Linked DNA regions of Caenorhabditis elegans. The protein of the gene in region 1 purifies or fractionates together with the protein of each later gene. This does not show direct contact. Each region holds a gene or a part of one and is shown in the gene's direction. Other genes may lie near its edges.

The links. Proteins that work in one complex are often made in the same cells at the same time.
Region 2: the proteins of Y60A3A.25 (region 1) and R193.1 fractionate together in Caenorhabditis elegans (co-fractionation; one large-scale study listed by BioGRID). This does not show direct contact.

What each region holds. Positions count from the first base shown.
Region 1 is NC_003283.11:19,990,224-19,995,974, reverse strand, and holds Y60A3A.25 (BZIP domain-containing protein), read left to right. Parts: upstream 1-1,781; 5' UTR 1,782-1,796; coding exon 1,797-2,039; intron 2,040-2,993; coding exon 2,994-3,132; intron 3,133-3,179; coding exon 3,180-3,320; intron 3,321-3,370; coding exon 3,371-3,444; intron 3,445-3,553; coding exon 3,554-3,955; intron 3,956-4,005; coding exon 4,006-4,104; intron 4,105-4,529; coding exon 4,530-4,697; 3' UTR 4,698-5,242; downstream 5,243-5,751. Other genes in the region: sri-67 (G protein-coupled receptor), read right to left, coding at 5,471-5,516, 5,634-5,751.
Region 2 is NC_003284.9:1,153,140-1,156,155, forward strand, and holds R193.1 (uncharacterized protein), read left to right. Parts: upstream 1-1,808; coding exon 1,809-1,867; intron 1,868-1,970; coding exon 1,971-2,227; intron 2,228-2,274; coding exon 2,275-2,449; intron 2,450-2,497; coding exon 2,498-2,501; downstream 2,502-3,016.

The sequences.
Region 1 (5,751 bases):
TTAACATATGTTTCCAAAAAAAAAGGATTTATTTCAGGTAAAAAGTAGTACCCTCAACTCAGAGAAATGATCGAAAAATTAGTATTGTATTACAAGCGATAATTAACACAACTTATGGTACTTGTGTATTACATGCCCTGATTTTTAAATTAAATTTAATGTTCATTAATTTCTCCATTTGAATTAAACGTGATATACATTTTCTCTTTTTAGGCTTAGAAATTGGTAATTCCTAAGCCTAAAAATGCAAAAGTGTGGTTCACGTTTTTATTTCGCATAACTTAAAAAATTACTACTAAAATGAGGGCATGTAATACACAAGTACCCAACTTTTTTTTAGACTTTGAATGTTCTGCGCTTTTGGTTAATAAGAACCAATATGGAAGCTACAATAGTCGTCTTTATTTACATTGTTATTTACAGGAGGTGCGGTCCACGGCTGGTACAGAATATTGTGCTTTCTCCTTATATGTTATGTTAAGTACAAACTTTTTTGAATTGAGTGGTGGTTACCAAAAAAAAAATTATATTTTTGTCAGAAACACGGAAAACAATTTTTATCAATTTTCATCATTGTCATCGCATCTGTTGCCATTTTCTCCTCTTTTTAACTCATTTATTACTTTCCCTATCAATTTTTCCGCTGGCTATTTTCTATAAAATGTATCTACATTATTATGATTTTTTAATTTTGAAAAAAAAATATTTTTAAATTCCCGTGCAAATGAGTGACGTCATTTTCGACATTTTTTTGGTGTATATTAATGAAAAATAATTTGTTACATTTTCAGATTTTTTTTGCATTAAAAATAGTTGAAATTAATTTTGAATAGTCGATTTTTGGCCCAAATTCAGAGTTTCGTTAAATTTATTTCCCATTGCCAAGTGTTCTCAACGGAATGATGCCTCAAAAATTGACAAACTGTGTTTCAAATTATAAGCCGGAAAACGAAAATATGTCAAAAGTGACGTCACTCATTTGCGAGGTAATTCAAAAATAATTTGGCCCATTCTTTAAATTATGCAAAATTAAAAAAAATGTTATCAATTTTTTATGGTCATATTTGGCCAAAAGGGTCTATTTTGCTGCAACATTTCCATTTGTTCTCTTATCAGCACTCTCTCTTTTCTCAGATGTCAATAGTTGTCGCCTGTCTTTTCTCTCTAAGTTTCTCTTTTGAGTTTGGTTTTTTTCCTCCTTTTTTTAATTGCGATGTCATGTTCATATATTTTTGCTTCATACAAAATATTGTGTTTTCTCCTTAAATATTATGCTAAAGGTGGAGTAGCGCCAGTGGGGAAATCGTCAAAAAACCACTCCTTTGATCCCAAAATGACCAAATATCATGATAAAACTTTTCAAAAAAATTTTGAAAATTTTTATTTACTGTCAAAAAGTGGCAATTACTCAGTTTTTGCCACTCATGATTTTGGAAGTCGACCAAAAAAAAATTTTCTTCGACATTTTTTATGTTTTAATTTTGTTCAAATTGTTTGTATTAAAACATTGTAGGGGTCGAAACATGCGATGTTCCTTTAAATTTTCCCAAAAGCTCGTATTTTTCAAAAAATTTTTTGAGTGTTCTACATATTATGAGCTGGCGCTACTTTTTGAACTTTTTGATGGTATTCATCCAAAAAAAAAATTATATTTGAGGTTTTGAATTTTAAAACTGGAACATATGTTTGTGAAATTCAAGCTTATCAAAGAAGTCTGTTGATAATTATTACTTTTTCTTTATCTCCACCAACTTCCAATAATAGAGCTCTCCATTTAAGAATTTCAGCACTGTCAAATGTTTCCGAGCACGTCTCACCGATTCATTGATGCTGGCACATCTGGAAATGCCCAACGAAATAACAAAGAAGGATCTTCACATAAATTACCCAGTCTTGAAAGTTGGTTTGGAAAGAAAACAACATCAGAAGCCACAGCCCAGAACCAAATTGTTGGAGATAATCCACAGAACAATTCGGTTGGGAACTACTTCAATCAGAATTTAAACGAGGATCATCATGATCACCAGTTTGCGCAGCAGGTTCGTGAACTTATTATCTTTATAGATAAAAAACAGTTAGTCTGTCCGGAGCTTGTAGTATATGTAGTCTTTTTAGTCTGTGACGTCACACCCAACTTCACCAAGAGTTGACCCACAAGTTTTGGCGGGAATTCGAATTTTCTGTGAAAAATTTTGGCGGGAATTTAAATTAAAAAAAAAAAATTTCTGAAAAAACTTTTTTCGGGAAATTCGAATTTTCTTCGAAAATAATTTTGGCGGAAATTCAAATTTTCTGAGAAAAATTGTGGCGGAAATTTAAATTTTTGTGTGAAAATTTGTGGCGGGAAATCAAATTTTTTGTGAAACAATTTAGCGGAAAATAAAATTTTCTAGGAAAATGTTTGGCGGAAATTCAAATTTTCTTTGAAAAATTTTGGCGGGAATTCAAATTTTCCGAGAAAAATTTTGGCGGAAATTCAAATTTTCTGAGAAAAATTGTGGCGGAAATTTAAATTTTTGTGTGAAAATTTGTGGCGGGAAATCAAATTTTTTGTGAAACAAATTGGCGGGAGGTCAAATTGTAAGAGAATCATTTTGGCGGAAATTCAAATTTTCTGTGAAAAATTTTTTCTGGGAATTCAAATTTTCTTTGAAAAACTTTGGCGGGAATTCAAATTTTCCGAGAAAAATTTTGGCGGAAATTCAAATTTTCTGAGAAAAATTTTGGCGGAAATTCAAATTTTCGGTGAAAAATTTTGGCGGGAATTCAAATTTGTTTTGAAAAATTGTGGCGAACATTCAAATTTTTGCATGATGTCTACGAAGCTGTGGTGTGGTGCGGGCGGGCGGGAGTAGCGTCCTCGTGGAAGACCTACTTACGACGTTTGATATGTATTGGGAACTTTAGGCATTTAACTGCGAAAGTTTGAACAATTCTTGTTCAAGATCTAACAAAACGTGTTAACCCTAATCCCTCAATACACATTTTTTCAGAATCCTGACAATGCTCTTGACAATTCACAAACTTGGCACAATCTGGACAGAATACATCAAAATTTTCAAACAATGGACATGCAACCATATCAAGAGTATCAGGACAATAATGAGTCGGGCTGGGTGGATTTGAATAACGGTACGCTACTATTGCCCTGGCTACTCGTGTATGTTCTCGTTATTCAGACAACCAATTCCAACAACCCGACAACAACGACCCAAATGCAAATGACCTGAACTTATGGAATATGGAAACTGGTCCGGGGCAAGTCTTTGAAGCGCCAGTGCTGCCAGCTATACCATGGAACAATGACGACAATTTCAATGGTAAGAATTAACATTTAAAATCTGGTTTCCAAAAAACCCTAACTTTACAGACAATTTTACCGAGGACGACGCGATTTCACAGATCTCATTTGATAGTGAAATCAAGAGTGAAACTGATTCAATGGTAAGTTTTAACTCGCATTTTATACCTCAGGGAGATTAAATTGTGATTGGAGTTCCTTCCATGTCCATATAACTTTTTACGTACTACAATACTATTTAAAACGTTTCAGGTTTCAAGAAAACGAAAAAGAAACAGAGAAGATGCACAGAATTCTTACGACAAGAAGAAACGTATCCGGGATGAGAACGAAACGTTTTTCAAATCACAGAAGCTCACCCATGAAAACCTTCTAAACCAGAATATCTTGAATGAAGCACATTTCCGAACAGCGGTCAAGCTTGTCCTTCGTCCCTGCTTCTCAAATCTTCGCATCATCAAAGTTTACTACACCAATTGTAGTTCAGAGCAAGTTTTTCGGTGCCTAGCAGATTTTGAACGTGATAAAGCAGATATCATCACTGAAAAGGATAACTTGAAGAGACGTGATATGAATCTGGCGAAGCTGAAAACAAGAATGGATGAAACTGAAAAAGTATATGACGATGCTCAGGCTGATCTTGACAACAAAAAGGTGAGTAGATGAGAAATCTATGAAAACATTTGCATTATTTAGATTTTCAGGTTGGAATTCCCCCAGGTACTTTAGCAAGCGGTTGTTTTCGAGCAAAACAGAAATATGAGACGGTGGCTTTTGAACACGGAGCAGGTGAACTGCAATATGTAAGTGAATTTATTGATAAATTGGCAATTTCATTTCAATGGAAAATGTAACGGTTTAGGGTTTCTTCTTAATTAATCAGATAAACTCAAATTGTCTCCATTAGGTTAAATTTAATCATGTGGATTTTAAAACAGGTTTCTGAAAATATTTTAAAGCTGACAGAAAATAGACCCTGATAACCGAATATAACTGTACAAAAGTTCGACAAATTGAGCTGGAAAACGCGAAAATCTCAAAAATGACGTCACTCATTTGCGCGGAACTTAACTTTAATAGAGCTGTTTTTTTTTTTGAAAAATTTTGAAAAATCATAAAATTTTAAAAAATTAAATTTTTTTAACAGCTATATTCGGTTATCATGGTCGATTTTCTGGCATTTAAACCAAAAAAAAAAAGTGTTTTTTCTAACACGCTTTTTTTTCAGGAGTTTTCAAAACAATATCGAATTGCGTCGCGTCTGACTGCATACGGTGGTTGGTTTTATCCGGATGCTCGAAATCTGTTACAACACAATTGGCAGTTTTTATGTGATAACGCAGGACCTGATATTGAACAGTTGAAGGAATTGGCAACATTTCTGGTTACACGATAAGCATCAAATGTATTGATAATCCTCTCACCTTTTCCGATTTTTCAAAAGATTTTTCAAATTTTCAAAAATTAGCTTAATAATTTGGTCATTATTCTTCTTCTTAGAAGAAATTTTAATGTTTTTTCTTATCAATATAAACAAAATTAGATAAAAATTCATATTTTATGATTATTTTTCGATTTTTCGATTTTCAAAACTTCAGAAATCGAAAAAAAAACGATAAATCGGAAAATCGAAAAAATTTGTCCTGTTCACCATCCACAACATATCTTCTCTTAAACTCAAACTTTCATGATACTCGCCTTTTTCTTTTTGTACATCAGCATCATCACTGCAAACTAATTTGTTTCATATATGTATATATATAGATCTATTGTATGTTTATTTAAATTAGACATTTGGTTATAGCATTCTGGTCAGTAAAATGCATTTCACGAATATACCCGGAGTAAGGTTGTTGGTCGGATTTGTCTGGTTGTAGATACCCGTGAGGTTCAGTGAAATCAATATTATACATGTGTTGGTTATATGAAATGAATTTAAAAAAATATGTATTCAAGTTGGCATAACAGCTGGAAGCCGTGTAATTTTTCAGCTGTCGAAAACTTTGGGTATAAAATTTCAGAAAGAAAAAATAAAAAAAATAAACGTCGTTTAATTTTCAGAGCATACATATTTAATTCTGTCATATCAAATGAAAATCATCGAGAAAAATTTTAAATCAATGTTAACATTTTTTTCAAACTTTAGTTATAAAGAAAAATTTAAAGAATTTATCCGCTCTGTGAATGCACATGTACGGAAATTTGTCGGCGATTTCTGAAATTTTATCCCAATTAGCATAATTTGTATAAAACTAGTATGTATTAGTTTAAAATGCAATCAATTTTGATGGCTATCACAGCCAAACAAATAAAAAAAATTTCAGGACCTTACCTCTTAAAGCTTTTCTCCAAAAACCTGCGATACGGCGGTGAGAATATGAGCAACGATATAATATTAGTAGATGAATGACATGAGAACACAACTAACATCAGTTCAGCTATCAATTGTG
Region 2 (3,016 bases), on another chromosome or scaffold:
CTATCAATGATAAAAGAATGATATTGATTACACCGATTGTTTCATGGATCTAAGGCTCGAAAATTCAAACCCAAGAGAAGCTGGAGTTGGCAGGCGAGGACCACATGGAGCACGATTCATGTACATTACGATGAGCAGTAAAAATGTGATGAGCACAATCAGAAGTTGAATAATCGCTTGAAAACGATAAGTGATTTGAATACCAATTTCTCCGACTTTTATATGCACAAATTTGAACTTTATCTTTGTTTCTGATCTGTTTGTCCTTGTTTTTCTGTTTTTTGAAACAGGTTTTTGTTTTTCGAAACAATTTTTTCGAAACAGATTTTCGTTTTTTTAAACAGGTTTTTGTTTTTTGAAACATGTTTTTATTTTTTGAGACTGTTTTTGAATGTTTTTTCGGCATCCACAGTTGTTTCTGCAACTTGAGGAGGAGGCATAGTCAGACCCGTAAATGTTAAATTTCGAGCTTTCAAGTCAATATATAGGTCAAAAAATTGAATTTTTTATACGTCCATACAAAGGTCCGAAACTTGAGGGGTAGGTATAATCACTCATGCAAAATTTATTTTTTAGGTTTTCACGTCAAAATATAGATCACAGAAAAAACTTTTTTGTACGTGAATACAGAGGTCTGAAACTTGAGGAATAGGTACAATCCGACACGTAAAATTTGTTTTTTAGGTTTTCACGTCAAAATATAGATCACAGAAAAAACTTTTTTGTACGTTAAGCTACAGTTTTGAAACTTGAGGAGTAGGTACAATCAGACACGTAAAATTTATTTTTTTAGGTTTTCACGTCAAAATATAGGTCACAGAAAAACTTTTTTTCTACGTCCATATAGAATTAACTTCATTTTGATACTATCAGCGGTTTTAAAACTATAAAGCAAAATACTGTTTCTTGGCTTTCACAAAGATGACAGCCCTAGTATGGACGTGTGAAACAGGTTTTTGTGACCTGTATATTGACGTGAAAACCTTTAAATTAATTTTCACGTGTCTTATTGTGTACAACCCTTAAGTTTCAGAACTGTAGCTTCACGTATGAAACATTTTTTTTGCTGACCTATATTTTGACGTGAAAGCCAAAAAAATAAATTTCGCATGCCTGATTGTACCTACCCCTCAAGTTTCAGAACTGTAGCTTAACGTACAAAATTTTTTTTTCTGTGACCTATATTTTGACGTGAAAACCTAAAAAATAAATTTTACGATGTCTGATTGTACCTACCCCTCAAGTTTCAGACCTTTGAATTTACGTACAAAAAAGTTTTTTCTGTGACCTACATTTCGACGTGATGACATAAAAATAAAATTTTACGTGCCGGAGTATGTATACTCCTTAAGTTTCAGAACACTGTATGGGCGTACAAAAAAGTTTTTTCTGTGACCTATATTTAGATGTGAAAACCTAAAATATAAATTTTGCATGCCTGATTGTGCCTACCCCTCAAGTTTTAGACCTTTGTATGGACGTATAAAAATTCAATTTTTTGACCTATATATTGACTAGACAACTGGAAATTCAACATTTACGGGCCTGATTATGCCTATTTCTCAAGATTCAGAAACAATTGTGGATGCCAAAAAAACATACAAAAAACTGTCTCAAAAAACAAAAAAATTGTTTCGAAAAACAAAAACTTGTTTCAAAAAACAGAAAAACAAGGACAAACAGATCAGAAACAAAGATAAAGTTCAAATTTTTGCATATATAAACCGAAGAAATCCGTATTCAAATCACTTATCCTTGTCATTCAAACTTCTGGTTGTTGCTTCTGCCGTTGTCATCCCTTACCATCTATGCTCTACAACACGTCTGCTCTCTGTGCTCCAAAACTGCCATCCATCGGATCTCCAATGTTCGTAATTTTTTGCAGTCATGTGAGAATGACTTGTGGAACCAGGTGTTCTTGATCCATGAAACAATTCATGGATGAACCGAAACTGAATTTTTTATTTCAGATCGGTCATCAAGACCGGCGATGTTGTTAGAGACTATTTTATCTGCGATAAGGTGTATCTTGGAAAATTCGGTGTAGAGACAGTGTCGGAAAAAGTCGACGGCGGTGGCGCATTCTCTCTTCAACTGTATCCGACGAACAACGAAATTTCCCGTGTAGCTGCAGAGAAGAAGGTTCTATGCGGACAACTTCTGACCGGCTTCCGTCATTGTACACAGTTCAATGAACGCTTCTCATTTGGAGATTACTACGTGATTGGTACGATTTTCGATGTCACTTCTTTCCAAATAATATTCCATTTTCAGTTTCTGATGAAATGCTCTCGATGGAAACTTATATGGAGGAGTATAACGTCAAGAAGCTTAGCTCCGGTAACGTCTGGCCATCGGGTGCGTTATGCTCAAAGGTCTTCATCATATTCATCAACTGGGCGTTACGCATAACAACTTGGCACCATCGTCTTTGTTTTTTGATACAAATGTTTGTTCACCCAAGTTCAGTATAGTTTCACAGTCATTTTTGTTGCAGTTGACACGCGTTAAAATCGGAGCATTTGATACTGCCACTGTTCACCCCTTGCCAAATACATTCCACCATTTTCTGCATCAAGAAGCTTTCAGTTCAATTGATGTGGCAAAAGGAGAGCGTCCGATGAAAAAAGACGATTATGAAAGCATGATCTACCTTGATTTCTCTGAGTGGTCTGGACATTTTTGACGGCCCTAAGGAGACGGTTTCGCAGATAAAAAGGGATCTCGTGAGTTTGTTTTTTTTTTCGGTCATAAATATTCAGCTATTTTTTTTTGCAGAGACGAGGTGTGATTTCGATTGATAACGGACTTGGTTTTCTGAATTTGATATGAAAGACTGCGGGAGAACATATTCTTCTTATGTAATGTGACAAACAAGTTTGGCTCGAAGGCACGAAATCAAAAGTATACAATATCAAATGACAAATAAATTACTGTAGAAAAGTTGCATGTATTTCTTTTTTGTTCTGCAAGGCTCCTTTGGGGCCTAATTTTTTGATACAATTGTAAATTTGGA